Arabidopsis thaliana: one gene and its partners. The protein of the gene in region 1 interacts with the protein of each later gene in a pairwise test. Each region holds a gene or a part of one and is shown in the gene's direction. Other genes may lie near its edges.

Region 1 (8,121 bases):
ATGAAAAGACTTGCCCCGAGAACGAAAGTGGAAATTAAAAGTAGTACTTACATATCTGATATTTTAGTTTGAGGAGAAAGATTGGCAACAAAGAGTACTTCCTGAATTTAACAACCAAGTGTGTTAGCACGATTTGTAAGGAGAAAAAGATTTTCATTGCATAACAACAAAAAGTAGCCTCATCTGAAGACTCATTCCCAAATAAGTCATCTTTCGACTTTGTGGCAACAGTTCTGTTATTAAGCATGACTTATTTTGAAGGTAATAAGAACAGGTACCTCAACAGAATTAGGAGGTCTCTCATCTTCTTCTATTGGATGGCTTTCTAGTCTACGGTAGTCTTTGTCCCTGGAATATCAAAAACCCTTGTGATCTCTCCACGTATACCAAAAACTTCACCTAATGTGCTCAAAAGGCAAATAGTATAATCCCTTACCAAACCTTGTGATCTATGCAATACCTAATTAGCAAAAAAATAATATTGGCGTTAGTCTTTACTGTAATGGCATCAAAACTCTAGCAATGAGTTAAAACCAGTGTTACATAAATCAATTTACTTGGGTGGAAGGTATGTAGCTTTCTTATTAGCCACATCAAGAAAAATCTTATTATTGTCTAAACATTCACCGTTCTTCTTTTGCAGCGCCTACAACAAAAAAGATTTAATCAGCAATCCTACTTTCAAATAACTACTCGTACAATTTTTCATCATTACTATAAAAAACCCTCACCTCCTCTGCTTCATTAACAGAAGCAAACTCAACAAAGCCACAACCCACAAGCTTACCCTTGAGGTTTACAATAAGTTGAACACGAACAACTTCTCCAACCTTTTTGAAGAAATCGATGCTGCAAAAGTAGATGATTAGTCATGAAAAACTGGATCCGAGAACAGAGGAAATTAAAGGTACTACTTACATATTTGGTATTTTAGTTTCATAAGGGAGATTGGCAACAAAGAGCGTCTTCTCTCTTACTGCAGCTTCCTGATTATTAACAGGCAAGTCTTAAATTGCATAACAAACCGAAAAAAAGTAGCTTAATTGAACATAAAACTTGTACAATACATGTAACAAACAGTCCAACATTATAATGATCAAAAATTAAACCTTGACTGAGATTAAATTAGCCTGATCAGACTTTGTCACCAACAAGTCGTTCTGCTGGAGACTAAAAGCAATAGCTTTCGTTGTCACCTGTTGTTACATGAGTAGCCGCAATTAGAAAAAGGCAGAGTAAAGAAAATTGGTCTGAAAGAAGAAGAGGAATCCGAACATATGAGGTTTACCTTCTTCTTGTTTATTTTCTTATGTCTCTTGAGAATTGGGTTGGCCTCCAAACCATATTGCGGGTTACGCTTACCTAAAGGAAGAGTAGCAAAAACTTCTTAGAACCAAGTAAGTTGGTATAAAACAACATTAGATAAGAGATCATAAACCACCAAAAAAACAAACCCTGGGAGTTAGATTTGACCATCACGGAGAAGATGAAAGCAGGAGGTTTAAAGGGGTTTATGTCTTCTTTCCGGGAAGAGTCCGTTGAGCGCAAGCAATACGTTGTAAAGTAAATAACCCTAAGCTACGTTTTATTTATAGAAAACAATCAAAGGAAATGTTTTGGTTTGGGCTGGGCTGGGCTTTCATTGTACCTGCTTAAGAGGCCCAAGGCCCAACATGCTTCTTCTTTTTCGTCTACCTCCAAATCAGCCCAGTGTGTTTGTTCTGGAATTCATAATTCATAGTTTCCGATTAAAAAGCAAGAGACCAGGTACAATCTCAACCTGTGGATTGCATGATAAAGATGATTTTAATCGGAAACCGTAACGATTCAAAATTGAAACAAAAGTATTCATTGAGGATATCAAAATTCGATAACCTAACGCATGTGTCTCGAATTAGAGAAATCAAATAGTGTTTTCTGGGCAAAATCAAAACCAATCGACACAAATCGATCTTTTGCGAAAAAAATACTAAAAAGAAAGGCAAACCCGTGTAAACTTCATCTTAATCTCATGAGTAAGAGTTTCCAGATAAGCATATCTCCGTGATGAAACTTTCTCCATTCCATTACCACCACTGATTGAAGATGCGATCACCGGAAAACAACCCAAAAAGCAAACACCGTCTCCATCTATCGGTAAGGAGAATTCGAGAGATTGATCACAGAGTAAGACGAGAGACTCTTTCGATTAATGCTCTCATTGTTCTCATCTGAGAATTCCCATGGCCACGGCAAATTGTGGTAGCGGCGGAGGAGAAACGGTGAGAGCTTGTTGCGCATCTCAAAAAGAATGAATACATAAACCGAACTATACCGACCCAAATTGAAATATAGAAACTGATATAAACCGAACTATACCGAGCCAAATTGGAATTTTTGAAATTGGAATAAAACTGAACCGAGCCAAATAGTCTCGCACTCTCACCAAACCCAGTTATCTTATTAAATTTTCACCAAATCCAGTTTATCTTAATGCATATCCTATCTTTTCATTAGTCCATAACTAATTCGTTGATTATTGTTCATTAGATATTTGCAGTAATACAAATCCCACTATGACAACATGATGACTCGCATAATATGACATTCAACTATTGTGAGATTACAAAATTTAAAGATATTTTACTTCTTTTTTTTCCAAAATAAAATTTACATTCTATTGATAAAATGTAATTAGTATGGATAAATTAGAATCATAAAACATTAGTTTGAGATAGAGATTTAAAATAATCATGTCACAAAAACTAGATAAAATTTCATTAATTATGATTGGTTATCTGGTTTCATTTTTTATTTTTTACAAAAATATAATCAGCCGTTCATATCTCTACACTTGGCTATAGAAATAGAGAAATATCAAATATGTACCAAAGAGGACAATTTTACAATTGAAAATTCATCGTGATTCAGAATCATTTGGAATCTAAGTGGGGTCAAATCAAATATAGCCCACCCTTTATAATTTCTTAAAAAAATTAGATAGTATTTTAAAATTATAATGTTTACAGATATTTCTTAAGCAGCCATTATTACTAAAATAAATCATAGTTTATCCAATTAAATTATTCGCTTCCGTTTCTTAAAGCATAAAAACCAAAACTTTCTCTTTCGTTTTGCTTTCTTCCAATCATCTGCAGGAGTGAATCGCAAAACCAAATTTGGAGGATTCTTTCTGAGGTATCAAAGCTTTCTCCTTTTGATTAACCCACACGAGAAAAAGCTCTCTTCTTTTGTAGGAATTCAAAAAGCTCGTCTCTTCTTGTTCGATTCAATCAGATTAGAAAAAGTTTCTGGATTTGAGCTGGATTGATCTAGGTTTAACTTGGATTACTTTTTGTAGGGGTTTCTCAGTGAGAAAATGGCTTCGAAACGGATCTTGAAGGAGCTGAAGGATCTCCAGAAAGACCCTCCAACCTCCTGCAGTGCAGGTTCACTTCAAAAATCTCAAATCTTTCTCCTTCTTGTTGGATCCATTACTTTATCTATGATTATCTGGTAATATGCCAGAGATTTAGCATTCTAGAGATCACAAAGGTGAAAGTTACTTTTCAGACTGATCAGAGTTGAGAAATGTAGAATCCTTCTTTGCGTTGTGGTGTTGTCTACTTATGTTTTGGCTTATGTTTATCTTAAGATTTTATGATGAATTTCAGTTTATTAGTTTCTACTTTTCTCTAATTATTAGACTAATCAGAGTTAGAAGAGTTGAGAAATGTAGAATACTAGAATCCTTCTTTGGTTTGTGGTGTTTTTTTTGCTTATGTTTTAGTTTTTGCAGGTCCAGTTGCTGAAGACATGTTTCATTGGCAAGCTACAATTATGGGTCCTGCAGAGAGTCCGTATTCAGGCGGTGTGTTTCTCGTTACCATTCACTTCCCTCCGGACTATCCATTCAAACCACCAAAGGTATTCAATATTGGAACAACTCTTAGATTACCACGAACTTTAGGTTTAGTAGAGTTCCTTGAAATTCTTGGACCTAATTAAAACTTGTATTTGCCCCCAAATCAAATCAATTTCTTGGCTTAATCTTGACACTTTTATTGGTTGTTTTGTTTTTATTTGCAGGTTGCATTTAGGACGAAGGTGTTTCACCCTAATATCAACAGCAACGGAAGCATTTGCCTTGACATTTTGAAAGAACAATGGAGCCCTGCCCTCACCATTTCCAAGGTGACTCTCATTTTTCAGAAACATCGGTTCTCCAATGTTCGTTTATGTTCCAAAAGTATAGCAAGAGCATCTACATTTTCAGCTAGGATTTTGCTCAATGCACAAGCTTTGCTTCTTGAATGTTTGTGTATGTAGTAAGATCATCATCTCTAGTTTTTAGCTGTTTTAATGGAAATGTTTATGCAATTGGTAGGTGTTGCTCTCGATATGTTCGCTGTTAACAGATCCAAATCCAGATGACCCTTTGGTACCAGAGATTGCACACATGTACAAAACCGACAGAGCCAAATACGAGGCTACTGCAAGAAACTGGACTCAGAAGTATGCCATGGGCTAAACAAAGATTCGTATGCTTCAGCACCTGTTTATGTTTTCATGTCTGTTTCTTTCTTCTTCTTGTTTTAACTTTAATAAAAATGTCTAAAATATCAACTTTTTCGTCTGTACTATATATGTTTATGGGTTTTATTATCATCATCTTTATCTGAAATTTGAAGATGGAATTCTAAAGCTTGAAGGTTATTTGTTAAAGTTTATTTACTAGTGAGTGATGAGAAACATTGTGTTGTTGTTCATTTCATTTTTTCTTTGTCAGGAATATTCATTGACTTGTTTTCTTTCCCAATATTTTATTTTACCACAAATATGTAGCTTATAATCACTATCTCGTAGACACACCGTCGTTAACTACGAGAAAAAAAAGAACAGACCATTTTACCAAACTGTTGTCTTTTGCCGACGAAGTCACCGAAGCCGGCGGCGGAAGAAAAGGTAAAATTACAAAAACTCTCTTCTGCAAAGTGACCATTTTTCACAGTGCTAAGTACAAATTTGTAGTCTTTAACCTCACTCACAGTTCATATATGTCGCATTTTGCATCAACAACAAAAAAAAACCTAATCTTTAGGGTTTATTTCTATTTGAAGGTTTTGTGGTGTTCATGGATACAAGAAAGATTCCGTTGTTCTGCTATTGGAATGGTTGTATTAAAGATGGTCCTGATGGTCCGTTCTATGAAGGGTCAAGTCCAAGAGGGATCAGAGTTGATAGCAAAATCGAACTATCCAATTTGTTGGATGATCTGCATCGACTTACTGGTTTTGAAAAGGGAAAGTTTCAGATTGATTTGATTGGTAGGTACCCTTCCATTGTTCAACAACAGATGGTCAAGTATGTGCGTTTGCCCATTGTGGACGATTGTAGTTTGGAGATGATGCTTGAGGTACCATGCTACCATCCATCTATCAACAGTCTGGAGGTGTATTTAGAGATCAAACCGTTTTCTGATGAAGTTACTGTTTCTATATCTCATCAGTCCCCATTGGAAAGTAATGTGCCCCGAAAGCGTTATCGGCAAGAGGATGCTAGTAGTGTCAATGCAGATGTAAATGTGAGTGGGAGAAATACTAAACTAGGAAGTCCTCCGGAGGATAACCATAATGGTTGGATTGAAGATGAGGAGAGTACGGATGTCGGAAACTCTGGTGATAATGGGGTCGCACAGAAGGATTCGAAAATGAAAAAGCCAACTCTAACGGAAGGCGTCAGTGATAGTGTCTCGAAGCAGTTGATTTTCTCTAGTTCATGGCTCGATGAAAGTGAGTTGCATGTTGGGATGATTTTTAGAGGTAAAGATGAGCTGGCGAAAGCAGTGAAGTTGTACTCTAATAGAAGGCAACGTGAATACAATGTATTCGAAATCCCCATTACGGGTACCTTTCAATCAGGGTGCAAGAACTACTGTAGATGGTTTCTCAAGGCAGCTAAAACGAATGGAAATGGCTTCAAGATAACAGAATACACAGGTCCACATGCTTGTAAGCCAGCAGATGTGGGCTCAGATTTCCTGGCAGGTGAAATTGAATGTCTAGTAAAGGTTCAGCCCTCGCTCTCAATTGTAGAGCTGAACAATTGGGTGAAAGAAGCATTTGGCTACACAGTCTCGTATGCTAATATGTGGAAGGCTAAAAAGGAAGCGATCTCTGCAATCTTGGGAGATTTGGACAAGAGTTTTAGCGTATTGCCCAAGTTCATGGCTGCCCTTGGCTCATCTAACAAGATGCTTTTGGAATGGCAATATGATCTTTTTCCTGATCCCAAAAATGCATCCTTTCGTTCTGTGTTTTGGGCGTTTCAGCAGTCAGTTGAAGGGTTTCCTCACTGCAGACCTCTCATTTTAGTAGATACAGTAGACTTGAGTGGTAAATACCCTGGAAAATTGTTGGTTGCAGCGGGATTAGATGCCGAAAACAGCCTTTTCCCACTTGCGTTTGCCATTACTACCCAAGAAGATTTGTCAGCTGATACTTGGCGTTGGTTCTTTTCGTGCATCAGAAAGAAAGTAACGCAGAGGGAAGGCATTTGTCTAATTCTGTCTTAGGCAACTTGTATCTTGCTAATCTTTGATCACCTGGCAGAGCTTTTCAAACTGCGACATGGTCTTCTCCAGGAATCAATGAAAAACAGAAGAGAGGTCTATGCTAAACATGTCATGACAAAGCTTGAAGAGTCTATAACACACGATGTCCTGCCATTAGACCAGTCTGGACAGAGGTTTCAGGTCACGGAAGTGATGCAAGTTGGAAACATGAAATTCTTTGTTCATCGCAGCGATCGGGCTTGCACATGTGGGATATGGCAACTTTACAGATATCCGTGTTCGCACGTGATAGCGGTTTTCAGGAGGCTGAACATTGATCACTTGCAGTATGTAAATAAATTCTACAACACAGAGAGTTTTCTTGGAGTTTACGCTGCTGATTTTAATCCGCTTCCGGGAGTCTCCGTTGGCAAGAAGCTTTCGCAGTTCCAAAAATGTTCCCTCCTCGAAGTCGTATGATACATTAGTTGCCCGGCCAGTGACAACAGAGCCCACCGCACAACGGCTCGTGAAAAAAGAGCCACCGCACAACGGCTCTGCTTATAACTAGTAAGTTTTAGGGGCTAATTCGAATTTATGAGAAGCGGCAAAAGAAGTTGGTGGATGTTAAACCGGATACAAACGGTTCTTGGTTATAGGGTGTACTAAACCGGTTTTTCTCCACAATCATCTTTGATATTTCATTTAAGTACTGTTTTTCTTTCCCCAAAATTCTAAAATCTAAATGATTACACTTCAATCTTTTACAAAAAATAATATTGTAAAACTAAACTTTACTGATCACAAAATCCTAGTATACACAAATTCATCAATAAAACACCGAAAATATTCAAATCTATTTTTACCATATCATAAATAGCATACAATAAAGGTTAATTTCAATACATCCCACTCGAACAATATACGTTGTTCTTCCATCGCACTTAGGATCAACACAAAGCAAAATCCCATGACTTGGGTCACAAACTTCGATCTTTACCTTCGCTAACGGTAATAAATCGAGCGAGACTTTAGACTTATGATGACTGTTCTCAGAACTGAGGACATAAGTAGAATAAAAAGTTGAATGAGATCCTTGATATTGGAGAAAAACTCCAAAGATAGAATTGGTTCTAAAGAGATTCAGGTTCATAAGATTCTGACATTCGTTTATAGTAATCTTTGTTTAGAAATCTGAATTTTTCAATTGCCGGACAGTAAGATAAAATTTCTAAGATTATGTCTTGGTTGGTTCATTGCAGGACAACTCATTTTGATGTAGAGAAGTTTAGTAAACTCACGTATTTATATTGAAATGGATGGAATTGTTTAAGACTTATATTTGTTTGAGCTGGTGTAGTTTTAACAAATGTGTTATTTAAATTGTCTCTTGGTCCACGTTTTTTTTTTTTTGAGAAAGCATATTAGAAGAAAATTGTTTATTGAAAATTTGTTACCATCTCTAGAATTGCTTTCTTTTGGTGCAATAAGAAAATCTTTTTACACTGATTACATGCAATTTTCCTTATTTGTGATAGTTTTAATAAGGTCTATCAGACTATCATCAGATATTCATTAAATAAGTACTT
Region 2 (7,743 bases), on another chromosome or scaffold:
AATATAAACTATACAAAACTAATGAATGTGGATATATTAAGAGATATTTTGTGAAGTAGACACTTTTTATACAAAAATAATTTGTAAAGTAGGTAGATTTTTTTAAAAATATAGAGAATAGACACTTCTCTCTTTCCTCTCTAATACAACTTTCTCTATAATAGAAATTTTGGTAAATGACCTTTATAACATTCTCTTGTTTTGTCATGTAATTAAGTAAAGACAAAACTTACTTTTTCTTTTTCTTGTTTTTACTTACACATACTTAGTTTGTTTTGCTATAAAGTTTTTCTTAAATAATTACTATAAAAACATATTAATCTTTAAAAGATTTCTGTGAATCTAAAAACTCTAATTTTGTTATATATCATAAATATGTAATATTTTCTTTTATTTAATCTCAACCTCGTGGTGTACGTGATATTATAAAAAAGTGGTGTACAAATAGTAGTGTATGTCAAAAATGAATAATATTGGTCTAAAAAGTAATATACGTAATACGATATATGACAAAGTATAAAGTGGTGTACAAACGACAATATATAGCGGTGTACAACAACATAATACAATGGTGTACGGAGATGATGTAAAGTATGGTGTACATAATATTAATAGTATATATGAAATGATGAGATAATGAGTCATACCATACATCACCTCGTACACCGTACACAATACCGTACACTTTCACCTATTTTGTACACCCCATATACAAAAAAATAGAACCATTTTTGTCAAGTGATAATGTACAAAAGAAAGTTTAAATAATAGTATACGAGATTTGTGTACATAAAAGTGTACAAATGTTAGTGTACACTACGTAAGAAAGTACTACTTTCATTTAATGGTATACACTATCATGGTTAATTTAATGGTGTACATGATGGTGTACACCATCATATTAATATAAATTTATGAACAATCATTACTTTAATTAATAAATATGAGTCAAAGTCGGTGCACTTAATGATTTAGTATATATTGGATAAATATTGTTGGATAAAATAATTTGATGTATAAGTGTTAGTGTACAAAACTATGTTTAATGCTGGTGTACGAGATTGATAATTGAATATATAGAAATCATCTTGTTTTTGGAAGTTAAAAAATATTAATAAAATTAAAATTAAAAAAAGAAAGATGAAAATAACTATAATATAATAGTTAGTCTAAATATTTAAATACTGGAAAATTAGGACCACACTAAAACTTTCTCATATAAAGCAAAGGGTAAAGTGGTATTTGACAAATTTTTTGTCTTTTACCTTATTACACATAAACTCTATCTCACAAAAAGTAGAAAAGTGTCTATTTCACAAATTTCTAAAAAAACTACTTATTTCTCAAATTATTTTTAAAAAAGTGTCTACTTTATTAAGAAGCCCATATATTAATATATAATGTATATAAATTTTGTACATTGGTTGACGGGTTTTAAAATTTTTGAGCATGTATTAGGAAGCCGTATTACTTTATTAAAATCTTAGAATATATCTAGTTTTCCGAACGATTTGTTCTCGATCCTTAATTCCTTACCATAATTTCTCGTCTCATTACCTTAATCAGAAGCCATCTTACCTATTGTCAATTTGGAATAATTTAAATACTATATCCACTTGATTAACAATTTCTCGAGATTATTTTTAGGGCTAGGCATACATATGGGTAACCCGTTTGTGTTCGGGTTAAATAGATAATTGTAAATATTCGGTTCCGGTTCAGTTTGGATATATCTGGATTCGGATCGGTTTGGCTAATAAGTCTGAGAAACTGTAAATACCCAAAAATCTGGATTCTCTCGGATTCAAGTCTAAATTGGTAAAAATTATCCATTATCCCAAAATGTGTCTCCAATACCCAAACTTTCAAACCAATTTACATGCACAAAACAACAAAAAAATAATAATAGAACTTTAAACTTGACATCCAAAATCTAATCCAAAGTCATAAAGATTAATACTTAGAGTTAAGAGTAGAGAAATATGAATATGAAAACAATAAATTCGATTATCCAAAAATAAAAAACATAGAACTAAAACGAGAAGTAGGATTGTAGTCTTGATGGAAGTTGATGAATGGGTAATTCAATCAAGCATGCAAAAGGTAAGCTAGTGTTAACCCTATAAATGTTTAAAACTATATCTATATATCGTATAAATACACATGTCTTATATCGGGTTTATCGGTACCATGTTTGAGTATCGAGTAATCTCCGACCCGAACCGATATCCACAGGTTTACCAAAACCATACCTAATAAGGTAACTTCCTATTCGTCTAATCCGCTTCAACCCGATTATTTTTATCCGGGTATCGATTTCGATATTGGGTCTGGGTTTTTTTTGCAGCCCTAATTATTTCATTACAAGTAAATTAAAAATATATCCACATCCATCTTTGAAACAATATCTCAATTTCTTAAACTTAAGCAACTACATCAAGATCCACCGTGTTTAAATTGACTTTATATTAAAAACAAAAAGTTTGGTAAAATTAGTCTTCAGCTAGGATAACAACAAAAATATATACTTAGGGTACAAGTGATAGTTTTTGTTAGATGGATTAATATGGTAAACCAAAATATTTATATGCAATTTGCTAAAATTTCCCTTTTTGCATTGAAAATATAAAAAGAAATAGCCTTTAATTACCTGAAAATGGATTTATTTAAAAGAGAAGTTTTTCTGTGTTGTGTTGTATACAAATGAATCAAATCAAATTATTCAGTAAGTTTCCATATTTCATTCATCTTTATTCCATTCATTTTTTTCATATTAAAAGAGAATACAGTCTCTGTAATGGTTTCCGATTTTTTTCCTTAACTAGGTTCTTAATTTGTTTGAATCTTATTGTACTTCCAAAATTAACAAAAACAATTATATTTGATTTTGTGTTTCTATGTTTTTGTTTTTGGTCTTTAAAATCTCCAATATTATTTATTGGCCTTTTTCATGGTACGTAGTTGATAACTTGATACTTAAATAGACTACTAAAGCAAAAATATAATCCCTATTTTATTGGTTTTTAGTTTACTTTCGCTTAAAAACTGAGACATATATTGGATACGAAAACAAAAGGTAAAATATTTTCAAATATTAAATAAAAAATTTAGCTGAAAATTTACAAACTATAAATAACATAATATACCTGAAGCCAACCATATGCTAAGAATATTTACATAAAATACCTTAAATCGAATATAATCTATATGGGTAATTATATCCAAAAATATCACGAAATATTATTTCGTTGATGATAGACTTTAAAAATTGCATATTATGTACAGAAATACAATTACCGAACAGGAATAATTTTTTGATTACATTGACCACATAATATAACAAAACACTAATATTGTTTTGATAAATATTTGATGTTTTAGGAACAAAATACATGATGTTTTCAACTTTCAATATAAAATTAATTAATATACTTTTTTGGGTTTAGAGGTTTCTATTCTGTAAATTGTATTTTTTTTTCCTGTAGATTGTATTACTATTGGTCGATTAAATGGATAATAAATTAATTTTAGTTTGGAAATAAAAACAAATAAATGAATCCTTAAACATCAACTATAAAAAGACAGAGGAGTATCTTTAAAGAAACTTGGATTGTGATATTGCACTGTAAATAGAACATAAAATGTTGCAGTGTAACTTTATTTTAATCAAATAAACAAATGTTAGTAAAAAAAAATATATATGTTGCAAACAAGGATTAAATTCACTAGTAAATTCTCATTAACAAACAAACAAAAACAAAAACAAAAACAAAGATAGTGCCAAGCATTACATATATAAACAATAAAAAGACCCTACTTATTAATATCTTTCCTTAAAGAAACATGGATTATTATCATTTTGGCAGTGTATGAAGTAATAAATATAAACAAAATGAAATAAGAAAATGCAAGCAAGTACAATTGATGATATAAAGTAACCATGGTTAATCAAAAAAACCTGAAAGACTGAAATAGAGTTAACCATAGTTAAGCTTCTCTGGTTAAAAGATAATTGCTTTGCTATATATTAAACAACAATTGGAACCTCCTCTTTTATCAAAACCAACTCTCTCTACACACTTTTTCAGATTCCATCATCACTTGTTCTTTTCACACCCAATAAAAACTTGCATCTTTCTTCTAAATTGTTGATGATCGCTTCTCATATTTGACCCTAGAGGTTCGTACTTTTCTCTCTTTTCACTAAAGTTTCGATTTTTTTCCCCAATTTTTAGCCCCAGAATTGATTCAGAGTGAAGAGATTTCAAATTGGTTTCATAAAGTTTGCATCTTTTAGAGGTTTTGATCTGTGTTTCTTGATTTAGAGTCAGATTTTGTGTTTGGTACGAATCAAAGGCTTGAGCTTTTGGTTTGATGGTTGTAGAAATTGAATAAAGATCTGTTCTTGAATCCTTTTGATACTGATTAGTGTTAATTTGAATTAAAGCTTTGTGCTTTGGTTTCGATTTGCTAAGCTTTAGAGTTAATTTCTGTTTCTGGATCATAATATGAGACCTTCAAGTCTCTTGCTTGCTCATACTAATCATAGATTGTCATTGAAATCTATGTGCTTTGGTTGGAATGTCTTGAAGTTTTCATATGTTGTGAGCTAATAGCCCTTAATGGTGTTTTTCAGACAACATCATTTCTACCGACAAAGATTTGATATCGAATCCAACAAGTGAAAGATGGGTCTATCAAGTCTTCCTGGTCCATCAGAAGGAATGTTATGTGTGATATTAGTTAATACAGCATTATCGATCTCCATTGTCAAAGGCATTGTAAGATCATTCCTTGGCATAGTAGGAATCAGTCTCTCGCCGTCTTCATCCTCGCCTTCTTCGGTGACGGTATCTTCAGAGAATTCATCAACTTCAGAGTCATTTGATTTCCGGGTCTGCCAACCAGAGAGTTACCTTGAGGAGTTCAGGAACCGGACTCCGACACTGAGGTTTGAGAGCTTGTGCAGGTGCAAGAAACAGGCAGACAATGAGTGTTCTGTGTGTTTGTCGAAATTCCAAGGGGATTCAGAGATCAACAAGCTCAAGTGCGGCCATTTGTTTCACAAAACATGCTTGGAGAAATGGATAGACTATTGGAACATCACTTGCCCATTGTGTAGGACTCCTCTTGTTGTTGTGCCAGAAGACCATCAGCTTTCTTCTAATGTTTGGTGACTGCTTTTCACTGTATAGGTTTTTTGTTTGAGTGTGTTTGTTGTGTACAGCTACTTTTACTATGAATTAGGTTGCATCGCGGTTGATTCTCGAGCAGATTTAAACCGGGGATGGGATAATCTGATGTACATATATATATATACCCATGTGTATGGAGCTCTTGTTTGAACACAGTTTTCTTGAATCTATGTGTATGTGTGTGGATTAAGAGTTCATGTTCAGTCTTATGAGCAACTAAGCTAATCAAAAAGTAGTATTTTAATAGTTACATTTTTCGTAACCAAAAAGAAACAAAATGCAAGAAATAGACAAGACATTAGTATCCATAAACGACGTTGTTTTGTTCAAACAGATCAAATAAATAAGACATTAACACCGTAAAAAATTTTTGTTAACCTATTTAACGATATGACTCAAATGGCAAGTCAACAAAAACTTTGTCATTTGTTTCCAAAGTCAACAAAAACTTTACGATTTATTTGTCTTACGTGAAGTTCAAGATTAAATCATCCCAAATTTGAAAGTTCGTGATTTTTTTGACATTTTTCCCCATTAGGAATCAGCTTGTAGTATTGTCAGGTGGTGGAAGATCTAGATTTCAAGGCGAAAATTCGAAAAGAAAACGCCATAAATTTCGTAGCGAATACTTGTTTCGGGGTGTAAAAAAGAAAAGTAAAATTAGATAAAGAAAATATAATGTTATTCAAAGAGTAGAAAAATGTGTATACCATTGAGATTTTAGGTGTTGTGAGTAACTGATATGATATATAACCAAGAAAGTAAATAATTAAATTAGGATAAATGTGATAGGAACAGAATTATGTAATACTCCCTCCGTTTTTATTTAGATGATGTTTTAGGAGAATACACACAGATTAAGAAATCATTTAATCCTACTATATTATTTGGGAAGTACATTTTAAATATAACCTTATTTTTTGTAAGTAATTACATAGGTATGCCATTAGAAATAAAATTTTAAAAGTAAATTAATTCATCTCTTTAAAAATTAAAAAGTCAAATACTAATTTAATTAATTAAATTTAATTAAAAAACGAAATACATTATTAATTTCTAAAAAAGTAACCAATTAAAATCAACTAATTAGATTTGATATCCAAATTATCATATTAATTTTTTATTAATTTTATAGTACACCTCTCATCTTTATATGATTCTATTTTTACGAAAAAATAATATCATCGTTATAAAACAATAATTAGAGTTTTTTCGCATATGCCATAATTTGAATTTTTAAAAACGAATATAAACTGTTCAATACATAAAAAAAATATTATAACGGGTCAAAAATAGATTTAAGAAAATTTTATACTGAGTACTTAGTCACAATTTGAATATTTATATTCAATTTCATACATATTATTTTAAAATTTTATAATCTTATATACTACAATAATTAATAACATATTAGATTTTTTTATGTGTATGATGTGATTCAATTTTTAATACAAGCTGGAAAATCCTAGAATTGACGGGTTTAAATCGATATTACTACAAGATGGTATACTACAGGTGAAACTCTAAAATTAACAATCAAAATACAAGTGTATAATTTTAAACACTAAACAATATAAATAATATCAACAAAATATATACAACTCGCAGTTTACTGTACATTTAAAATCAAATAAAATAATATCATATATTTATAATCATCTTTACAATAAAAGTTTTTAGTTTAACTAAAATATAAGCCTACATGCGGTATACTACAAGTTGAAATTATAAATAAGCAGATTACTTTCACGATGTCTGTACCTTCTCACATACACACCTATCAAAAAGTTAAAACCTTTCAAAACCTCTTGGTATATTCAAATTAGGATTCTTCATTCATGGAATTATTATTCCAAAGGTTTTGTGATGTCTTATGAAATGATTTTGGAAGAAGAGGATGTAAATTTTTTTTTTAAAAAGGTAGTCAGCAAAACATATGTTTTTTTGAGAGTTTTTAGATAATTAAATCACAGAATAGAGTTGGGCATATGAGTAACCCATTCGAGTTCGGGTTTGGGATTAATGGGTATATGATTTACTACCCAATAGAATAATTCTAAATATTCGGTTCTGGTTCCGGTCAGATCCAGTTGGGTTTGGGTCAGTTTGGAAAAAGTTTCAGACCCTAAAAATATCCAAAAAAAATAGAAACGGGAAATTTTTATGTAGATAGCGGGTCTCTAAACAAAAAAAACTTTTAAATTTGTTAAGTTTTAATAAATTTAATTATATTTGAATATATTTTACTAAATTTTGACAAACATAACAAATAATTTTTGAATAGTTTAGTTGTTTGGGATATTTAGGTCCAAAATTAATTGACATATTTAGATTTATATTTATAATCTTAGATAATTAGATAATATTACGATTAAATATAATTAATATTTTGGATATTAAATTAATGTTTGAGTTTTTGAATATTCTTTTTGGGTAACGGATAATTTCCAGACCAATCGGATATCCACGGGTTTACTAAAACTCTACCTAATAAGGAAATTTTCTAAAATTTTAACCCGCCCTAACCCAGTTTTTTGGTTTGGGTATT
Region 3 (8,960 bases), 8.9 Mb from region 1:
ATGCTTCTTCTTCCTTTTTCCCTCTTCTTTTATACTAGCTTACTAAATTAATAATTAGAGGTATGCTAATCTTAATTAAATTATATTGCAAATTGCTTTTATAGATATTGTAAATGACGTGTGTACCTTTTGTGTGGCCAGGTCTTGTCAAATCTTTCGCTGAAAACAGGTTATTGTGTGTTATATCAACAACTTATCATTATTAACACAAAATATCTTTGTAACATGGATTAAAAACAAAGCAGCTAGTATATATTATTCACATGAAAAGATTAAAAAAAATTGTGCGACTAGTAGATTTGTGATCGCCCCTTTATAAAGTTTGACTAGATCACTAGACTACATTTAATTATTTACAAAGTCTCAACGATTCCTTTCATCGTGAATGGGATATTATTGGGAATAAAATCACGAATTTCTAAAAGTTGCACAATAATATATATTTTTTTGTAAGATGGTACACAATAATATTTTAGTTATACTATAACCAAAGAAAAAAAAAAACTATTTACACCATATTAATTATTTCTATATGAAGAGATTTTCTACTTAACGCGCTTACTTTCGTATTAAGATAAAGTATCTACGCACTGTAGACACGTACGTCGGTGCATCATGCATGTAACCCTTAAAAGGCCTTTTTACGGCCCGTTACTGGTCCATATTAAATTCTCTACATAACCCTTTATACTTAGCCCAAAACAGAATTTCATTTTTATTTCTTTTTCGAAAATGGAAGAAATTCTCACTGGTGAAATTCGGTGAAAGAAAATGAAACAACAGTTACAGAGAAACAAAGAACGTACGAGAGAAAAAAACAAATCAGAGAGCTGAAGCTTTCTCTTGCTCAGCTATGGAGTCACGAACTGCTTTCAAAAGCAGAGGCATTAGCTTCTCGTTAGCAACGATAATGCCTGTGTCCAAATCAAGATACTTCCCTTTCGAGAAATCCAGTGGCTTTCCTGCTGCATCTGTCACTATTCCACCCGCCTCTGCACCAAAAAGAAGAATCAACCTTGCATTCCTTATCTATTTACATCCGCATGTCGACACTATAAAATTAGCTTCATAGAGAGTAAGCTTTAATGTTACCTGTAACAACTATAGCACCAGCGACATGGTCCCAAATCTTTTCGCGGTATCCTTTATGAGGAAACCGTAAGTATATAGCTCCATCTCCTCTTGATAAAGCTCCATACTTTGCTTGGCTATCAATACGGACTGGTGGAGCTTTGACACCGAGTTTCTGTATATTACAACATAGAACATGATCAAATGGATGAGGAAAATTAGTTAGCTATTAGCTGGAATCACATGGAAGGAAAGAAGCAATTTACATTGGCAATGGAGCTGGATAAGTCATGTAGAGAGTGAGCTCCTTCGAATGACTCGAAGAACGATGCCTCTTCAGGATTCTCAACACTAGAGACTTGCACTTTTACAGGAGAAGATTTTGAATCTAGGAGCTGCATATATGTCCCTGAACCAATTGTAGCAAAGAAGAGGCATCCAATTTCGTCTGACGAAGATTTGTTCTTGTTGTTTCCTGCTATGGATGCTAACGGCAAGTTTGGACAAGCAAGCACACCTAAAACTACTTTCCCTTCCTCGAGCAATCCTAGTGCTACTGCGTATTGATCTCCCCTCAGAAATCTAAAATCATGAAAATGCTCAGTGTCAGGAACATAACATCTGACTCAACATTCTATCAAATTTACATTTTCTCTGAAATAAGAAGATTTGACTTTAGGCTAGTTAGTTTTAAAACGTACCCTTTAGTGCCATCAATTGGATCCAAGACCCAGTGTCGACCATTTGGACCACCTTCAGATGTTCCACAGTCAATGGCTCTAAGTAGATCATCAGTAGACAAAGTAGAGCCATTAAACGATTCCTCGGTAGCCAAAGTGTCGTTCACGAGTTTTGTGATGCGCTCCAGAGTATCCTGAGAACCATCCTTGCGTAGATCGCCTGAGTCCTATATAGATCATTTTAGACAATGTGAGTCCATAAACACAAACTCAAAGATAAGTAAAGTGTGAGACATCTAACAAGGATTTATTAAGCAGTTTCACCTCTTCAGCCACCAATGAAAAGGGTTCAGAACTGAGCTCTTTTTCTAAGACTAAACTAACAACTGCTTGTGAACCTGAAATTCAACACAAGACAGATCAAATTAAGTGATTTCCTAACAATCTCAGTAACATTCAAAGAGAAGAGCTTTTTCTAATCAGGGACAGGTATAACAAACTAACCATAATCAGCAACGGTCACTGGACTTTTATCAGATTTTGATTGCACATCTGATTGCAACAAAGCCTTTTGAACTTTCTGAAACAAACCCAAAACACAAAGATAAGATTTTGATCAAAGATTTACACGAGCTTCGTATGTAGAGGACCATTACACTATATCACTAGAATCTATTCCCAATTACAGATGCAATGCACAATAAACACAAAATGTTAAACGAAATTTGGAAGATTTACAAAATGGGTTTCTTAAAGAATCAAACTTTAGAATCTATGGGTCATGATTGAATCGAAAAAACCCTAACCTGACAGAGACGAGCAGCGAGTGAAGCAGCTTTCTTAGCAGCATCAAGCTCTTTCTCGTAAGCCATCGATGAAACAACTCTGAGAGTAACAAATGAAGGAGAAGAAGACTTGCGTCCGAATACAGAAACGAGACGGTTCGATGAATTTCTAGGTCTCGAATTCGTTCTTACTGCTACAAATGATTGAAGCGGAGCCTTCGCTGTTCGAAAACAATTTATAGACATCATTCGCTTTTCAAGAAGATAAATATATGTCTTCACATTTTCTGATTGCAGAGACAATTATTATTACTTTTTTGAATTTCCCATTTACACCAGTGTACTTATTTATTCTCTGAACTTAAACCCTAAACTTTATTTTAGATCAAGAAAGGCCATATTTGCTCTGTTGGTTTAGGGGTCCATGTGGCACCAATTGAAAGAACAAGTACAAACGGTGAAAATCATAAAAATAAAAAACTTTAGTGATCTTCGTAGATTGGTTGTTGAGTTTTGGGCTAATCGCACGTGGATGTTGTGGTTGAAACATAAGTGAATTTATAGGTGGTGAAGATACAAAAAGGCTTCTTGATGAATGAAGAAGCCCAATAAAAACGGTTCTGGGTTAATATATTTTGAGGGAATCAAAAGCCCAAATAATTTTCTTCAGACAAGAGCTACAGCTTTGCCACGTTGTCCACATGAATCATGTTGAAATTTGGTCTATGATTTTGGGTTATGGATAAATCATTAATGACGCAGAGACAAGACTAAAAAAGATTTCTAGATTGATGATGGCGTGTGAGAGAGCAAAATACGTTTTGATTATTTGCCGGCGCAAGCAAAGGGTCACGTTCCACTAACTTTCAAGATTCAACAAAACCCACTTTCTATAGTTTTATATGTTCATTTTTTTCTGCTAAAGTATTTTTATATGTTCATATTTCTCTTTTGTGCCATCTTTTTAATAATTTAATCTTCCTACAGAAGATAATCTCCAACAAAAGTTTTTTCTTACAAGAAAGATTCCGAGAAGTCTTTTGTGTTTTCAACAAACTCCAGGTTGATATATACTTGCCACTTGTGTAACTGTATCTTTTATTCTTGATTTTGATTGGTTTCTTCTCCAAAGATTGGATTTCTGAAGGTTCTTGTGCTGCAGGGTTTTTTCAATGAACATGAGCAATAAACGTAATCAGCAACCTTCGTATATTGCTGATCATTTCAGCAGTTTGGATCAGGTCTCATAAACTTACTTAGTTATTTCTTGATTTTAGTCTCTTTCATAGTGATGAATTTCTTGTGAACTTTGCTTTTTAGGTGATAACTTCTCTGAGAGAAGCTGGACTTGAATCTTCAAATCTGATTCTAGGAATTGACTTTACCAAGAGCAATGAGTGGACAGGTAATTATTTGATTTGATAAAAAATGCTACACATGTTTACGAAAAGATTCAATGGTTTTGGTTAATGTTCTGAATTTTCATTGCAGGGAGATATTCATTCAATAGAAAAAGCCTTCATGCCATTGGTAAAAGACAGAATCCATATGAGAAAGCAATATCGATTATTGGTCGTACTTTGTCTCCCTTTGATGAAGATGATCTTATACCTTGTTTCGGTTTTGGCGATGGTTAGTTTCTTATTTCTTGCTTTCAAGATGAATGAATAAGATAAACCAAAGTTCTTAATGGTTTTATGTTTTCTTCTTCCTGCAGTAACAACGCGAGATCAATATGTATTCAGCTTTTATCCCGAGAACAAAAGCTGCGACGGATTGGAAAACGCAGTTAAAAGATATAGAGAGATTGTCCCACATTTGAAGTTGTCCGGTATTTTTGAACTTTCAAAAATGGAGCAGTTTTGTTCTCTCTTATCGTAAAGATTAATCAGTGTATTCTTCCCTCACAGGTCCTACCTCGTTTGCACCGGTTATTGATGCTGCCATCAACATAGTTGAGCAGAACAATATGCAATACCATGTTCTCGTCATTATCGCAGATGGTCAGGTCACAAGAAATCCAGATGTGCCGCTTGGTCGACTTAGTCCACAGGAAGAAGCTACTATGAACTCGATAATGGCAGCGAGGTAAAACTATTCAATAAGCTCATATTCATGATCAGACTTCATATGTATACTAATGATGTTTGATATAAATTTTCCAGCCATTACCCATTGTCGATAGTCTTGGTTGGAGTAGGAGATGGACCATGGGACACAATGAAACAATTCGATGACAATATTCCTCACCGTGAATTCGATAACTTCCAGGTAATATAATAAAACCCTGAATAGCTCTGTTTTGTTCCTGAAACATGAATCATGAAAAACTGTGTTTTGTTCCACAGTTTGTAAACTTCACGAAGATAATGTCAGAGCACAAAGATGCGGCTAAGAAGGAGGCTGCTTTCGCACTCGCAGCTCTCATGGAGATCCCTTTTCAATACAAGGCTACATTAAGTCTCAAGTAAATGCAATAAAAAATTTACCGTTGGAAACTACTTGTATCACTCACTGTTTATGGTCTTATTGCATTAGATTCTTTGCCAACTAAACCAACCTTTGATTGTGCTTATGAACAGTAGAAAACCAGTGCGCAGTTCCCATCAGCACCACAAGCCACTCCCGCCACCACCAGAGGTTATAGAGCGTGACAATGCTGTTAGATCGGTGCCAAATCAGATGACAGAAACTGCAGAGAAAAGTGACAGACTCGCTCCTTCCACAGTGCCGGTAAATACTCTATTATTTCTGCCTTTGTTTCTGTTCTTTTGTCAATGAGTATACTCAGTTTCTCTGATACTGAGATTTACATTCCTTTTGTTTTTCAAAAAGGTATGCCCGATTTGCTTGACGAATCCAAAGGACATGGCTTTTAGCTGCGGTCACACGGTATGTGAAAATTTCAAAGGAACAATTATACTCTTACTTGTTCTATGAACTGTACTGCTTCTAGATCGATTTTGTGACATCTCCGATACTTTTTATTTCAAATAAAGACATGCAAGGAATGCGGAGTTGTTATCACAACATGCCCACTATGCAGACAACCAATAACAACAAGGATAAGGCTGTACACTTGACTCGGAAAAATTCTTAGAGATGAGACAAATTATATGGTTAAGCACTTGAGCTTCATGTTTATACTTCTGTAGAACATTGTACAGTCCAAGCAGAAGAATTGTAAAGCATAAATCTCGAGTTGTAGTTCATATGTAATTCTTAGCCTGCCGAAACAAGGAGATATGCGAGAAGAGTTCTCTTTTTGTATTAATCAACAGCTACGTACAAATAAGCCGAAGAGGTCCTTTTTATAACATTCCAAAGAGACCTACAAGTTCTAAATCAAGCGGAAAGTGTAACAGCAACGATACCAATGGAAAAAAGAGAGAGCTAAAAACAACCTTAAATACTTATTAGAAGCTCCAACGGTCGAGTTGTTGCCTGGCTACAGCCATGTCTTTTTGTGCTTTCATTCTCCGGTAAAATATTGGACAATCTCGACTGTAAAAGACCAATAAGAAATCCAGAAAGGAAATTGGATCAGAACCTATTTACCTGCTGAAAGATTTCTAAAAGAAATTGATATCGATAAAAATATAAGCAAACCTGGTGCACAAGACATCTTGATGAAGAGAGCCTTGACACTCCTGGCACTGTGTCCACAGCCTCCCAAAAACCTCTTCAAGCTCAGCCACTGAATAACACAACGAAAGTATCAAATTTTATAGATATATCAAAGAGTCTATAGGAAAGGGAAAAACGGCAGCATACCTTGAGACACGTTTTTGCAATATAACTCGGCTTCTCTTCCCTTGCAACTTGCGCATAGTGTTCCATTGCTGGTTGAAGTTAAAAGCGAATATTGATAAACAGATCCCATATATGAAAACAGATAATACATAGGCAAGGGACCACAAAGTACCTGATCGGAACTTTGCAGCCAACACAGCTCAGTTGTTTTTTAGCAAACTTCATTATACCGCTGTTTGAAGGAGTAGTGATTGATATTGACCTCGTGTGACTTCCATGGAGAAGCTCCTTGCTAGCATTTTTCAGGACTGGCTCAAAAATCCTAAGAAGTGGCTGAAAACAACATCTCCTTTAACCTACAATCACCAGAATAAAGAGTATAGAATAAACTTATACACAAACGCCATGTTGAACTGACCTTGCTAATCTGATTCTCCAAGTAGTAATTTGGGTCTATAGGGATATTATTCTGTAGCACGTAGATTGGATCTTCTGATCGTTCATAAGCCTATCAGACGTCAAAATGAGATAAGCACGGAAGAAGAGAATGACCTTAACATCTTATGGAAAAGCTAACACAAGCTTGACATGAAAACTACCTTGGCACCTTTAGCAGCTTTTATGATAACATACGGTACTCGATCTCCAACATTTGGCGCTGTAGCAGCATCCCTCTGTCACATATGTAAGCAAACACTGTCATATTCACATGATAGATCATCAGACACCGTAAAACAGATCTAAGTTTCAGAGCAACCTTTGTATGATATTATATATTCACCAAAAAGCCGGAAAAAAAATTCATATATTCAGCAAAATTATGCATGACTTAAGAAAAATCCCTGCACTTGTGCAGCTATAAAAAGACGACCAAAGAACCATATTAAAATATTATACAAGCCAAAAATTAAAATTTAATTGTTTAGCACTCCCATTTTTCAGTTTGAGAGTGTCCATGAGATGCTGGAATTAGAGTAAAGGAACGAAAATTCCCCTAGACACATTTGTACATGTTTCTTCACGAACGGAAACGGTCAAGAGTTATCTTAACATGTAATGAAAATGCTTAATCCTGCAAATGATAGACGAAAATAGATAAAGAGTACCACAAACCTTACGCATGCGTTCAGCAAGTTCACCATGAGCTGATTTAACTTCATAATCATCTCCTGTTTTCGTTAGACCCTATGATTTGAGGAAACACATCAGGAGCATTATCCATTTGATTCTTGTTTTAGTTTTAACAGATGGCTTTAATCATTAAAATACACTTTCAGGCGATACAAACATCACAGGACAATAAATCAAGTAAAACATATTACCTTAGTAATCACCAAAAGTGACAAGTCAATACGGTTCATGAGAAGATCCGAAATGGTTTTCTTGACATTTTCAGCTGCCCCTGGAACATCTCTATCAATAAGTATTTTGTTAAGACTCTCAGTCACGAGGTTCTTAACCAGTAAACAATTATCCCTTCGTACTGTCTCGATTCCTGCCAAAGTCGGTGATATTGAAATTTAGTCAGGAAATGAATAAGAGAGAGGCTGTAAAATCACGAAGATTTACCTTTGGTGTCCATTTTGTCAAACTGTTGAGGATTTGTCCATAGCAAACCAGCATACCTCTTCTTGTTAATGAGAAGATATGGGAAATAGACCTTTTCAAACTCCAATTTGATGGGCTTTATGACATCATACACAATCAAGAAACAGAGAACGATTCAGCCTGTTATATTTTGTTTTCAAGAAATCACGTAATCTTGCACCTCTACCCCAAGGATTAGGGAGAACCGGAGAAGTTTAAGACATGCTCCTAGAAAATCACTTACTTTGATAAAAGTTCCACTAATGTGTTCTGCAGCTTCCCTCCCCAAGGTCATCGCAGCTTCTACATCCGATACTCCAAATTGCACCATGACTGAATCCGTGTCTCCATAAATGACCTAATACATCATAGTCCATCAAATTCGAGAAATCTAAGAGCAAACTTAATGATTCACTCAAGTCTTTTCAATACAACGAATAATTCAATGAACATGTACCTCTGCATTGTATTGATACCCTCCCAGTGTTGTGAATTTGTCTTCAACAAGTTTCTTTGTTTGTTCAATCATCTGACGACCTTCAAAAAGATACAAATCCATCAGAACGAACCTAAAAGGCTACGTGTCTAGAAAAGTTGCAGTTTCACAAAAGAAATACCATAGCTAGTTACACTCGAGGATATTTCTAAGCATGGTAACTGCCCAACAGTGGCTCCCGTAAACCCGTAGACAGAATTTGCACTGATCTGAGAAAAAATAGAAAACAAATGTAAAAGAGCAATTTACAGGGAGGATATTGTTCGAAATTTTCCGAGGATTGTAATCATTTTTCTGAATGACCAAGTTAAAGAAGCTGGCAGTAAAGAAGTTCACCTTCAACGCTAACTGTCTACCATCTAAAACAGCCTTCTCAAGGGGATCCTTAGCCTCCTAGATTAGACAATACCAGTTTCAATAGTAGTAGTTAAAGGCTGTATACAGATACGCACACACTGCAAGAGTTTCTTCGGAATCAAATGTTTTACCTTTAAATCTGCTTTAGCTCTCTTACGGGCAGTAAGAAGCTCTTCGAGAATTTCTGGAAGTATACCCTGAAATAAATTATTCATTTTGTTAATAAACTGC
Region 4 (8,100 bases), on another chromosome or scaffold:
TCGGCAAGTCTAGAATATTGTATTATTGGTAGGAATATTTATATTAAAAATGTAAATCACAAAAAATCTACATGTTTTGGTCAAATGTAAAGTAATAATATGTATATTAATTACAATGTACGTATAAAATAGCTATCAATCCAGCAAAAGAGAAGAGTGCTAGTAGATTTGTGAGAATGTTTCGTTTTCTCAGTAATGGCTTGAGATAAGGAAACAACTGTTTTTGGTCCATACCCTCTCTTCTCTTTCCGTCTGCCGTTTTGAAATTGATCTTCCTATTTTCATATTACATTATTAGTCTCTTCACTTCATTTTCCCATTGAATTCCAGTTGAAATTTGAGAATGTTTATATATATATATATATATATATATATCTTTTAGTCTTTCATATATATATATTTATAGTAGTAAGTGTTCAAGACTTTGAACTCTAAGATAAGTCATTTTGAAAAGAGAATAATATGTACGACTGTAGTTTTCTTTATAGAGTCGTCTACGACTTTGTTAAAACTCGATTGGGAAAACAAGATTATAACAGCGGTTAAAAGTTTTGTAACTTTTATTGTAGTATACCCGATTTACCTAAACCAAAAGCTATGTGATCAACACTAGTAATCAAGTTTATAAGGTCAAAAGAACCTTTAAAGGGTGAAAAGAAAAGTTGATAAGTTAATAACTGATAAGCACTCCACTAATCATCTAATCGGACGGTGGAGATACATGGAAGAGTTGATTATTTAGAGGGTCAAGAACCGCTACTTAAGATACGTTTGATTGATTTCAATATTTTTTTAAAATAGAAAAGTAAAAGTGTTGAGCCGAAATTAGGATGCAAAGGTATATGCCATATCAACGTTAAATGGTAGAGATTTGTGGTTGTAATATTCCACTTATCATTGATGCACATGAAAATTGTAATTTGTTTTTTAATTACTTGTTGATGTGGTCCAAATTCTCGATCTTAATCATATAGTATGAACTAAAAGAAAGAACGATTGGAGAAAGTTGTACTGTTTATACATTGAACACAACAAGTGTTTTTATATACATATTGGACATACATAACTTAAAATTTTTTGTTTCAACAATGCAAGAATTTTGATCAACTGACTTTGTATGTAAATGCTAAAAAAATCTGAAGAAGATGGAGTTCCAAACTTGTGTTGGTTTGTGGGTAATTTCCAAAATACTACAACACTTTATATAAAGCTGCCAAACCAAATTTTCCCCAACCACCATCCGCTCTAATTCTGGCTTCACATCCCTATTAACCGGATAAAGTTATAAAGTCAACTGATTACAAAACAGAGTAGGTCTTCGCTTTTATACACCAGAGAGAGACCACTTAACTGAATTTAAAACGAGTTCTGGAAAAAATCTAGACTAATTCTTAGTAATTGTAATTGTTATGCGAAATTACATATTAAAGATGGCTAACTGAAGAAAAAACTGACATAAATTGAGTGACTTAAATATGTTGTAGCAACATAAAAGGAATATTAGTATAGAACAAACAACAAAAACATTTGAGTAAAATGCATATTTAGTGACATTAAGAGTAATGAAACCAGTAGAGATGTCGTAGGCAGTTGAGTAGCTTAATGAGGTTTAGGTCCACAGTATGGGCTTCTTCTGATATATTTTAATATAGTTTATGAGCACATTTCTCAATTCTATTTATTCAAAATTCCCTTAGAAAATAGTAGTAATTAATTTTAGTGACCCTATCTATATATATCTCTGTGTCAAGGCCGGCCCTTTTCTTCTCATTCTACTACACCCACAAGCCACACCTATTTATCATCATCACTCCTCCTAAAGCAAATAAATGAAAGAACAAAAAATGAAGAAGCTCAATATTATACTTACTTGTTGGTGTGTCATGTGTGCGTAGATATGATGTGGATTGTGTAAGAAACTAATGTGGCTACTGGGTCCTCTCATATGGGACCAAACTTCGTAGACTTTAGTATTTACATTCATAGAACCAAAACATTAGTCTCATTACAAAACATTTACCACTTATCCGTTAAGGCTATAGGCTACAAACAAAAGTTACCAGAATTGACCAAAGAATCTTACGAGATTTGTGATTTTGGTATATGCAATTATTCAAGTGTGGGAGTGAGTATATTAGATCTATGAAGGAGTTGAAGCCTTGGTCATCTTTAAGAGCATACGAGTGTGCAGAGGTCTTCTGTCCTGGCTTGTGAGATATTGGTGAAAGGAAATATCCTGAACTTTCCATTTGCCATGCACGTTAGTGTTAGCTGAGCATCACTCACCATTGCCTGTCGTATTCACATATAGTTTTTTACAATGTTGTAATCACTAATCAGACTCAGAATTTGCATATATATAGACTCAGATTCTAGTTTCAGGGTCACAACAAAGGTTATGGTTTAGATGAATATACCTCGCAGGAAGTAGTCATGTCGCTGCAGCTCCATTTTTTGGTTGGAACACAGTCAACATAGCGACACCAATGGCAATGACGGTTGAGATTGACTCCCCAGCATGCTGCTAATAGAACCCCGGCAAGTCTAAACAGAGATGGAAAGCTTTTTCATGTCACAAGAGCGTAGATAAAACAAAAAAAACTAGACCAAAAAGAGATTTGAGGTAAATTCTCACATTCCACAAAACACGAGCAGGCATATAATCCTTAATACCGGTCTGTCAAACTGTTCTTTAAGCCTTGTGGATCTGTTCATATCATCTTCAAACAATTTCCCCTTATGAGATGGAGGCATCTGTCTCAGTTGTGGTTTGAACAATAGCACAAATCCAAGGAGGAATCCTGATATGAAACCACCAATATTTGCAAAGTTGTCTATGAAAGGGAGAAAGCCTATCAGGAAATTCACAGTGAAGATAGTGAATATTATCGCCAAGGCTGAAATCTGTACCAAGCAAAAGAAAATACAATCAGAAAAGCTATGAGAAGAAGATAACAAGAGACAAAACAGAACCACAAGAAATCCTTGACCTTGCTGTTATATAGATTCCAGTTCTTTGCAAGTGCAGAAAGCATGGCTCCAATCAACCCAAAGAAAGCAGCACCAGAAGAGATTGATGGGATGTTCCGAACAAACAACACAGCAAACAGACTACCCATAATGCCAGAGAGGAAGTATATGACTGCAATCCTCACTACAAAACCAAAGCAAAAGCAGAAGAAAGGTGGATTAGAAAGGTGATAGATTCCATCCAAAACAGACTAATCAAAAGTCAAGTAGTCTAAATTACATGGTCCAAACTGTTGCTCCATGTATATCCCTACGAAAATCAAACTCCCAAGATTTATGAATAGATGAAATAATCCACTGTGCAGCCATGGAGATGTCAAAATACGCCAAATCTCATGATTCTCCGTCAGAGCTTTCCAAGAAAGACCTCCCATATGCTCTAACCTGCAAACTCACAAGAAAATAAGTAGTCCATAGCTTATAATCAGTCATTTGATAGCTCAAGTTACCCCTATTTCCCTTAATTTTCTGAAACATAGAGCTCTCACAAGAACCACCACTTGAATTAGATTGCTTCATCAACAGAATGTAGCACCAAGAGCCACACAAATAAACACACACACACACTAGAACAACACAGAATTGTAAACAAGAACTTGTCGGTTGTCACTGTAATCAGAGATTGAGACACTATGAATCAGCTGAAACTCATCAATCTTGGAAACTAGTATCATCCAAATCCAACAAACTTCAGCAACCTATCGTTACCGATCCAAAAGATGAGCAGAATGAAACATCCAAAATTACAGGTCTAAGCAACGAAGCATCCAAAATCCATCTCTAAAGGATCTAACAATTCAATTAGAGATCGATTCCAAAATCAGTTACAAGCAGAGACCAAAAGCGAAATCCGCCGGAGAGAGCTACTTACGTTGAGGCGGAGGGACCAAGCATAGGATTCTCGGAGAGAGACTGGAAAGAGAATCGGCCAAGGAGTTTAGCGGAGCAGTGACCGTGAGAGTTCCCGGAGCAATCGTTGACGCCCATAGTTACAGCGAAGAGGACGATCTGAAGAAGAACGAAGACGGAGACAAGCCAAGTGTCTCGTTTGATTTGCCGTGAACGGTGACGGAAGAATGAGATCTTGTCCCAGCTAGAATCGCCGGCGTTAGAAGTGGTAAACGAGAGATTGTGAGAGATTTCATCGATCTGCGTCGTCTTTGACTCTGTAGGAACCTCCATTGTTGAAGGTGAGCGAGAAATTAGGGGATGATGACGAATGGGTTGTTTTATACTTTGTAGAAATTGGCGGGAAAATGTTATTGGAGAGCAAACCGAACGCTAACCGTTTCACGATCCGGTTCGGAATTGATTTAGAGCGCGTGTACCGCTTACTATACACGTCATTATCATTTGTATTAAACTCAAATCAAAATTTTAAAAGATATAGCTGGATTAATTTTTTCAACGCATTTGATTCTGTATTTTATTTTTATTAAAAAAAGATTCAGTGAACATATAAAAAGATTAGTATCATTAAGCCATTATTAATTACTATTTTCAAGCAAAGAATGTATCGTGTTTGTGGAATGTACGCAAGGAATGATTCATGTATTCGTGACGGTTGGTTTTGGTTGGCGTCTAATATGACAAGTGATCATAAAAGCTTATGTTAATATATCATCATATAATCCAAATCATTTATAGTTAGTACTTAGTATGCTAAATATACGTTGCAAATTTATCGTATATAGTCAACCAAAAAGGTAAATTCAGATTTGTATAAATGTAAATGGAGAGATGACTGTATCTTGAGATTTCTGGTAGTTATTATATAAGTTGAGAAAGAGAGTAAGAGACCCAATTATTGTTATTTTCTAAATTTGGCTCTGCTCAAAGACAACGGAACTCTCTGCTTTTCTTCTTTCTAGAGATCTTTTCTTGAGGTAATAATTTAAAGATGGGAGATGAAGATTTAATAGAATTGAAGTTCAGACTCGCAGATGGTACCGACATTGGTCCAAGCAAATATAGTCAATTCATGACTGTTGCATCTCTCAAGGAGAAAATCATTGCTCAATGGCCTAAAGGTAAATCATTTTCTATGTTTCTTCTCAAAAGTTTTGCTATTTGTTTAAAGGTGAAGTTGAAAATCTTGTTGTGGACAGACAAAGAAAACGCACCAAAGATGATAAATGAGGTTAAGCTCATCAATGGTGGGAAGATACTTGAGAACAACAAAACACTTTCTGAAGCAAGGTCCTTAATAACTATTGGTGAACTTCCTGGAATTGTAACTACAATGCATGTTGTTCTTCGTCCTCCTCTCTTTGAGAAGAAAAAAGGTAATTTCTATACATTTTCTCTTCAATTCTTGAGTGTTTTTGTGTGTATTTTGTATATCTCAAAGCTTTGTTTTTATGTTTTCTTTTGTTTCTTCAGAGAAACTGCAGAATGATCCTCCAAGGAAGAGTCACTGTGTATGCTGCATTTTGTAGCTCCACTTAGAGATTTTTGATCCTTTATACAATTTATTCCATTGGAAAAAACTTTCCATATCTTAAAGTCTTCAACATGGATCTTCATTACCAGAATGATTTTGGTTTTTCTTCCTTCCTTTTCTTCTTCATTGTTTATCAAAAATGGCTTAAGAAAAATTACTGTGTTGTTGAAGATTGAGGTATTATGTAAAAATTTGTTCATATGAGTGAAAAGCAAATATGAGTTGCTTGAAAGGACCTGTTATAACACAAGAAGATAACTAGTTATATATAACTTTAGAGCACTACAATATTTACTTAGAGATGTATATCCATCCACATAGTAACAAATGCTCCAACTTTTATCTGTTGTGATCACTACATCTTCACACAAGCTTGAGCATTTCCTCAATTAGATTGTTTATGGCTCTATACTTCATCATCACAATGTTTGCTTCAAGAAAGAGCTGCAAGAGTTTCAGAAACTGAGTGATGATAAAATAATTACTGTGTTTTTCTTTAAGCATATTTATCTGGAAGCTTGGTCTGACTATACAGATCTACTAAATCAGCACATGCATTGTGGAAGGTTGTAGGGTAAGTTTTGATTAGAAAGGGACACCATTTTATGGCCTTAAGATGGAGAGTAGGTCCACTATCAGTTAATGGGTGAGGAAAATGATGGTATGACATGACAATATGATATAACATGAGTTGCTTTCAATCAACCTATATAGTACACTAAGATTATTATGGATGACTATATAGTACACTAAGTTTATTATGGATGACTAGTTCTGAAAATGACCCCTTTTTTGCTTTTGTCCTTCAAGTGCCTAATTCTCTGTTTTTTCCAGCCTAGTTAAACTAGTAACCACAAGTCAGTAAATCAACATGATGTAATCAAGAATTGGCTATGGCAAGTTCTCGAAACGATTGTATGCATTATGCAATCATATTCAAACCATAAATCCTACATCATATAGAAAACAAAATGATATATATGATCATGAGGAAGCAATGACTCAAACAGTGGTAACAAGATAGTGCTCGAGACAAATTGAATAGGGGCAACGTATGCACAACATGACACCACTCAACTTTCCCATAAACCTCATGGTCGTTGCGCCTCTCAGTCATAAAGAAATAGAGACAACTCTCGGAGGTACCTAAAAGCCGTCGGGTCTCGTAGAGCTCTGTGGAAGCGAGAAGAGAGCGGAATCTCTTGGAGACTAACGAGAGAGTTGGGTAGTACAATCTAGAGATGCGTGCTAAGCAATTCAAGAGTAGATCGTCTGGGAGATATGGTATACTAACCTTTTCAGCTTCAGATGTGCTACTCAACACAATCTTCTTCTTCTTCTTCCTCATCTTCACCGACGACTTGATCCTCTGGCAGTCACCGACCAACACAGTTCTTCTTCTCCGACAAATGCTTTTTTCTATTTCGCTAATCTCAACAATTTGGGTCAGTAAAATGCTATTGGGCTGGGCCTGTATTCTTTTCTTTTATTTAATTTAAATCGTAAGCCTTTTTACGAAAAAAAAAACAATTGGAGAAGAACGAGATTTCGGGGATTCTGATGGTTCTCAATGGGCCTTTTAACTGATTCAAGCCCACTCTCTTTTTTTTTTTTGGTGATTTCAAGCCCACTCTCTTAATTCACTTCCAAAGAGTTTTATTAAATTTAATATGTTACTAAAATTTTTTATATCATTTAAAAATTAATAGTTAATTCATTTGTAAAGGTAAAATTGAAATTTGTTTTTTGTTATGAAATTATGAGTACAAAAATAACTGTATTTTATTTCTTAGCTATTAAATCGCACACTTTAATTACTATATATATTTTTCTTTCAACCAAAAAGTAATTGGATATTAAACATCATAAAAAATAAACTATTTTTTTCCGGATTTTTTAGTTTTTTTTTTCTCTTTTTAAATATATAGAGAATATTAAATAGATTGTGAAATATGTTATATGGTACGAACGATGGGATAAGGATTCTCTTCTTTTGATCCTAAAGTTTGGTTTTCTTTTCTTTTTTCTCGTAGTTGCCTCTGCATCACGACGCCTTACGTGTTTAAACACCCACATTATATAACTTTAAAGAAATGGTCTACAATTATATAATCACTCTCTTTGTATACTAATCTAGTATAGTTAACGAATACTTGCATTAAAACTGGCTGTAGCTCATTCGAAAGTGGATTTTGGAACCTAATAAATGATGACATAACTAAAACGAATTAGATGACTATATATATTAACTCTATAAACACTGAGGATTAGTACTATTCAACTCAAGATCTTATATAAATAAAGTAGATTAGCACTATGATTAGAAGTGACCCCATGTTAGATATTTTTGTACTTTTAATTCAATCATAAACATGTACTATGCTTGTTAGAATTTAAATGTTGATGCAATAACGACAATAATACAAAGTAGTATTAAACTACCTTTTTGTCTATCAATGTTATGATTTGCGAAAATATTATAAATGCAAGTTGTTTAGTGTGTTGTTGCCTGATTCACTTGGACGATTATTTTTGACTTAAAAATGATTCTCTACTAATAGAATAAAACGTTGTAATTGTTATATATAGATCTTGGCGCAGCCAGGCAGCCTCCTCGAGTCCTCGTG

Evidence for each region.
Region 2: the proteins of UBC8 (region 1) and XERICO interact in a two-hybrid assay, tested with the Arabidopsis thaliana proteins (one study listed by BioGRID).
Region 3: the proteins of UBC8 (region 1) and RGLG3 interact in a two-hybrid assay, tested with the Arabidopsis thaliana proteins (one study listed by BioGRID).
Region 4: the proteins of UBC8 (region 1) and MUB5 interact in a two-hybrid assay, tested with the Arabidopsis thaliana proteins (one study listed by BioGRID).

What each region holds. Positions count from the first base shown.
Region 1 is NC_003076.8:16,672,714-16,680,834, forward strand, and holds UBC8 (ubiquitin conjugating enzyme 8), read left to right. Parts: upstream 1-3,128; 5' UTR 3,129-3,177; exon of another isoform or gene 3,178-3,340; 5' UTR 3,341-3,358; coding exon 3,359-3,422; coding exon of another isoform or gene 3,423-3,428; intron 3,429-3,769; coding exon 3,770-3,906; intron 3,907-4,068; coding exon 4,069-4,173; coding exon of another isoform or gene 4,174-4,308; exon of another isoform or gene 4,309-4,366; coding exon 4,367-4,510; 3' UTR 4,511-4,796; downstream 4,797-8,121. Other genes in the region: AT5G41690 (RNA-binding (RRM/RBD/RNP motifs) family protein), read right to left, coding at 52-101, 279-348, 437-460, 558-646, 732-849, 919-986, 1,110-1,196, 1,289-1,362 and 1 more. UniProt on the Arabidopsis thaliana protein: Accepts the ubiquitin from the E1 complex and catalyzes its covalent attachment to other proteins. Mediates the selective degradation of short-lived and abnormal proteins.
Region 2 is NC_003071.7:1,459,250-1,466,992, reverse strand, and holds XERICO (RING/U-box superfamily protein), read left to right. Parts: upstream 1-4,048; 5' UTR 4,049-4,180; exon of another isoform or gene 4,181-4,636; 5' UTR 4,637-4,688; coding exon 4,689-5,177; 3' UTR 5,178-5,445; downstream 5,446-7,743. UniProt on the Arabidopsis thaliana protein: Function on abscisic acid homeostasis at post-translational level, probably through ubiquitin/proteasome-dependent substrate-specific degradation.
Region 3 is NC_003076.8:25,603,665-25,612,624, reverse strand, and holds RGLG3 (Copine (Calcium-dependent phospholipid-binding protein) family), read left to right. Parts: upstream 1-3,318; 5' UTR 3,319-3,598; intron 3,599-3,637; exon of another isoform or gene 3,638-3,698; 5' UTR 3,699-3,708; coding exon 3,709-3,777; intron 3,778-3,856; coding exon 3,857-3,941; intron 3,942-4,027; coding exon 4,028-4,168; intron 4,169-4,253; coding exon 4,254-4,367; intron 4,368-4,446; coding exon 4,447-4,624; intron 4,625-4,701; coding exon 4,702-4,807; intron 4,808-4,884; coding exon 4,885-5,003; intron 5,004-5,118; coding exon 5,119-5,269; intron 5,270-5,371; coding exon 5,372-5,428; intron 5,429-5,535; coding exon 5,536-5,619; 3' UTR 5,620-5,854; downstream 5,855-8,960. Other genes in the region: SAL1 phosphatase-like protein, read right to left, coding at 823-992, 1,093-1,246, 1,338-1,653, 1,773-1,978, 2,076-2,149, 2,256-2,331, 2,558-2,623; AT5G63960 (DNA polymerase delta subunit 1), read right to left, coding at 5,953-6,040, 6,146-6,233, 6,311-6,378, 6,462-6,622, 6,708-6,797, 6,889-6,963, 7,403-7,474, 7,612-7,784 and 6 more. UniProt on the Arabidopsis thaliana protein: Possesses E3 ubiquitin-protein ligase in vitro.
Region 4 is NC_003070.9:29,280,247-29,288,346, forward strand, and holds MUB5 (membrane-anchored ubiquitin-fold protein 5 precursor), read left to right. Parts: upstream 1-4,716; 5' UTR 4,717-4,930; coding exon 4,931-5,060; intron 5,061-5,138; coding exon 5,139-5,315; intron 5,316-5,412; coding exon 5,413-5,468; 3' UTR 5,469-5,836; coding exon of another isoform or gene 5,837-5,917; 3' UTR 5,918-6,094; downstream 6,095-8,100. Other genes in the region: KOM (Rhomboid-related intramembrane serine protease family protein), read right to left, coding at 2,170-2,292, 2,418-2,544, 2,636-2,904, 2,991-3,154, 3,251-3,414, 3,902-4,212; AT1G77880 (Galactose oxidase/kelch repeat superfamily protein), read right to left, coding at 6,429-6,821. UniProt on the Arabidopsis thaliana protein: May serve as docking site to facilitate the association of other proteins to the plasma membrane.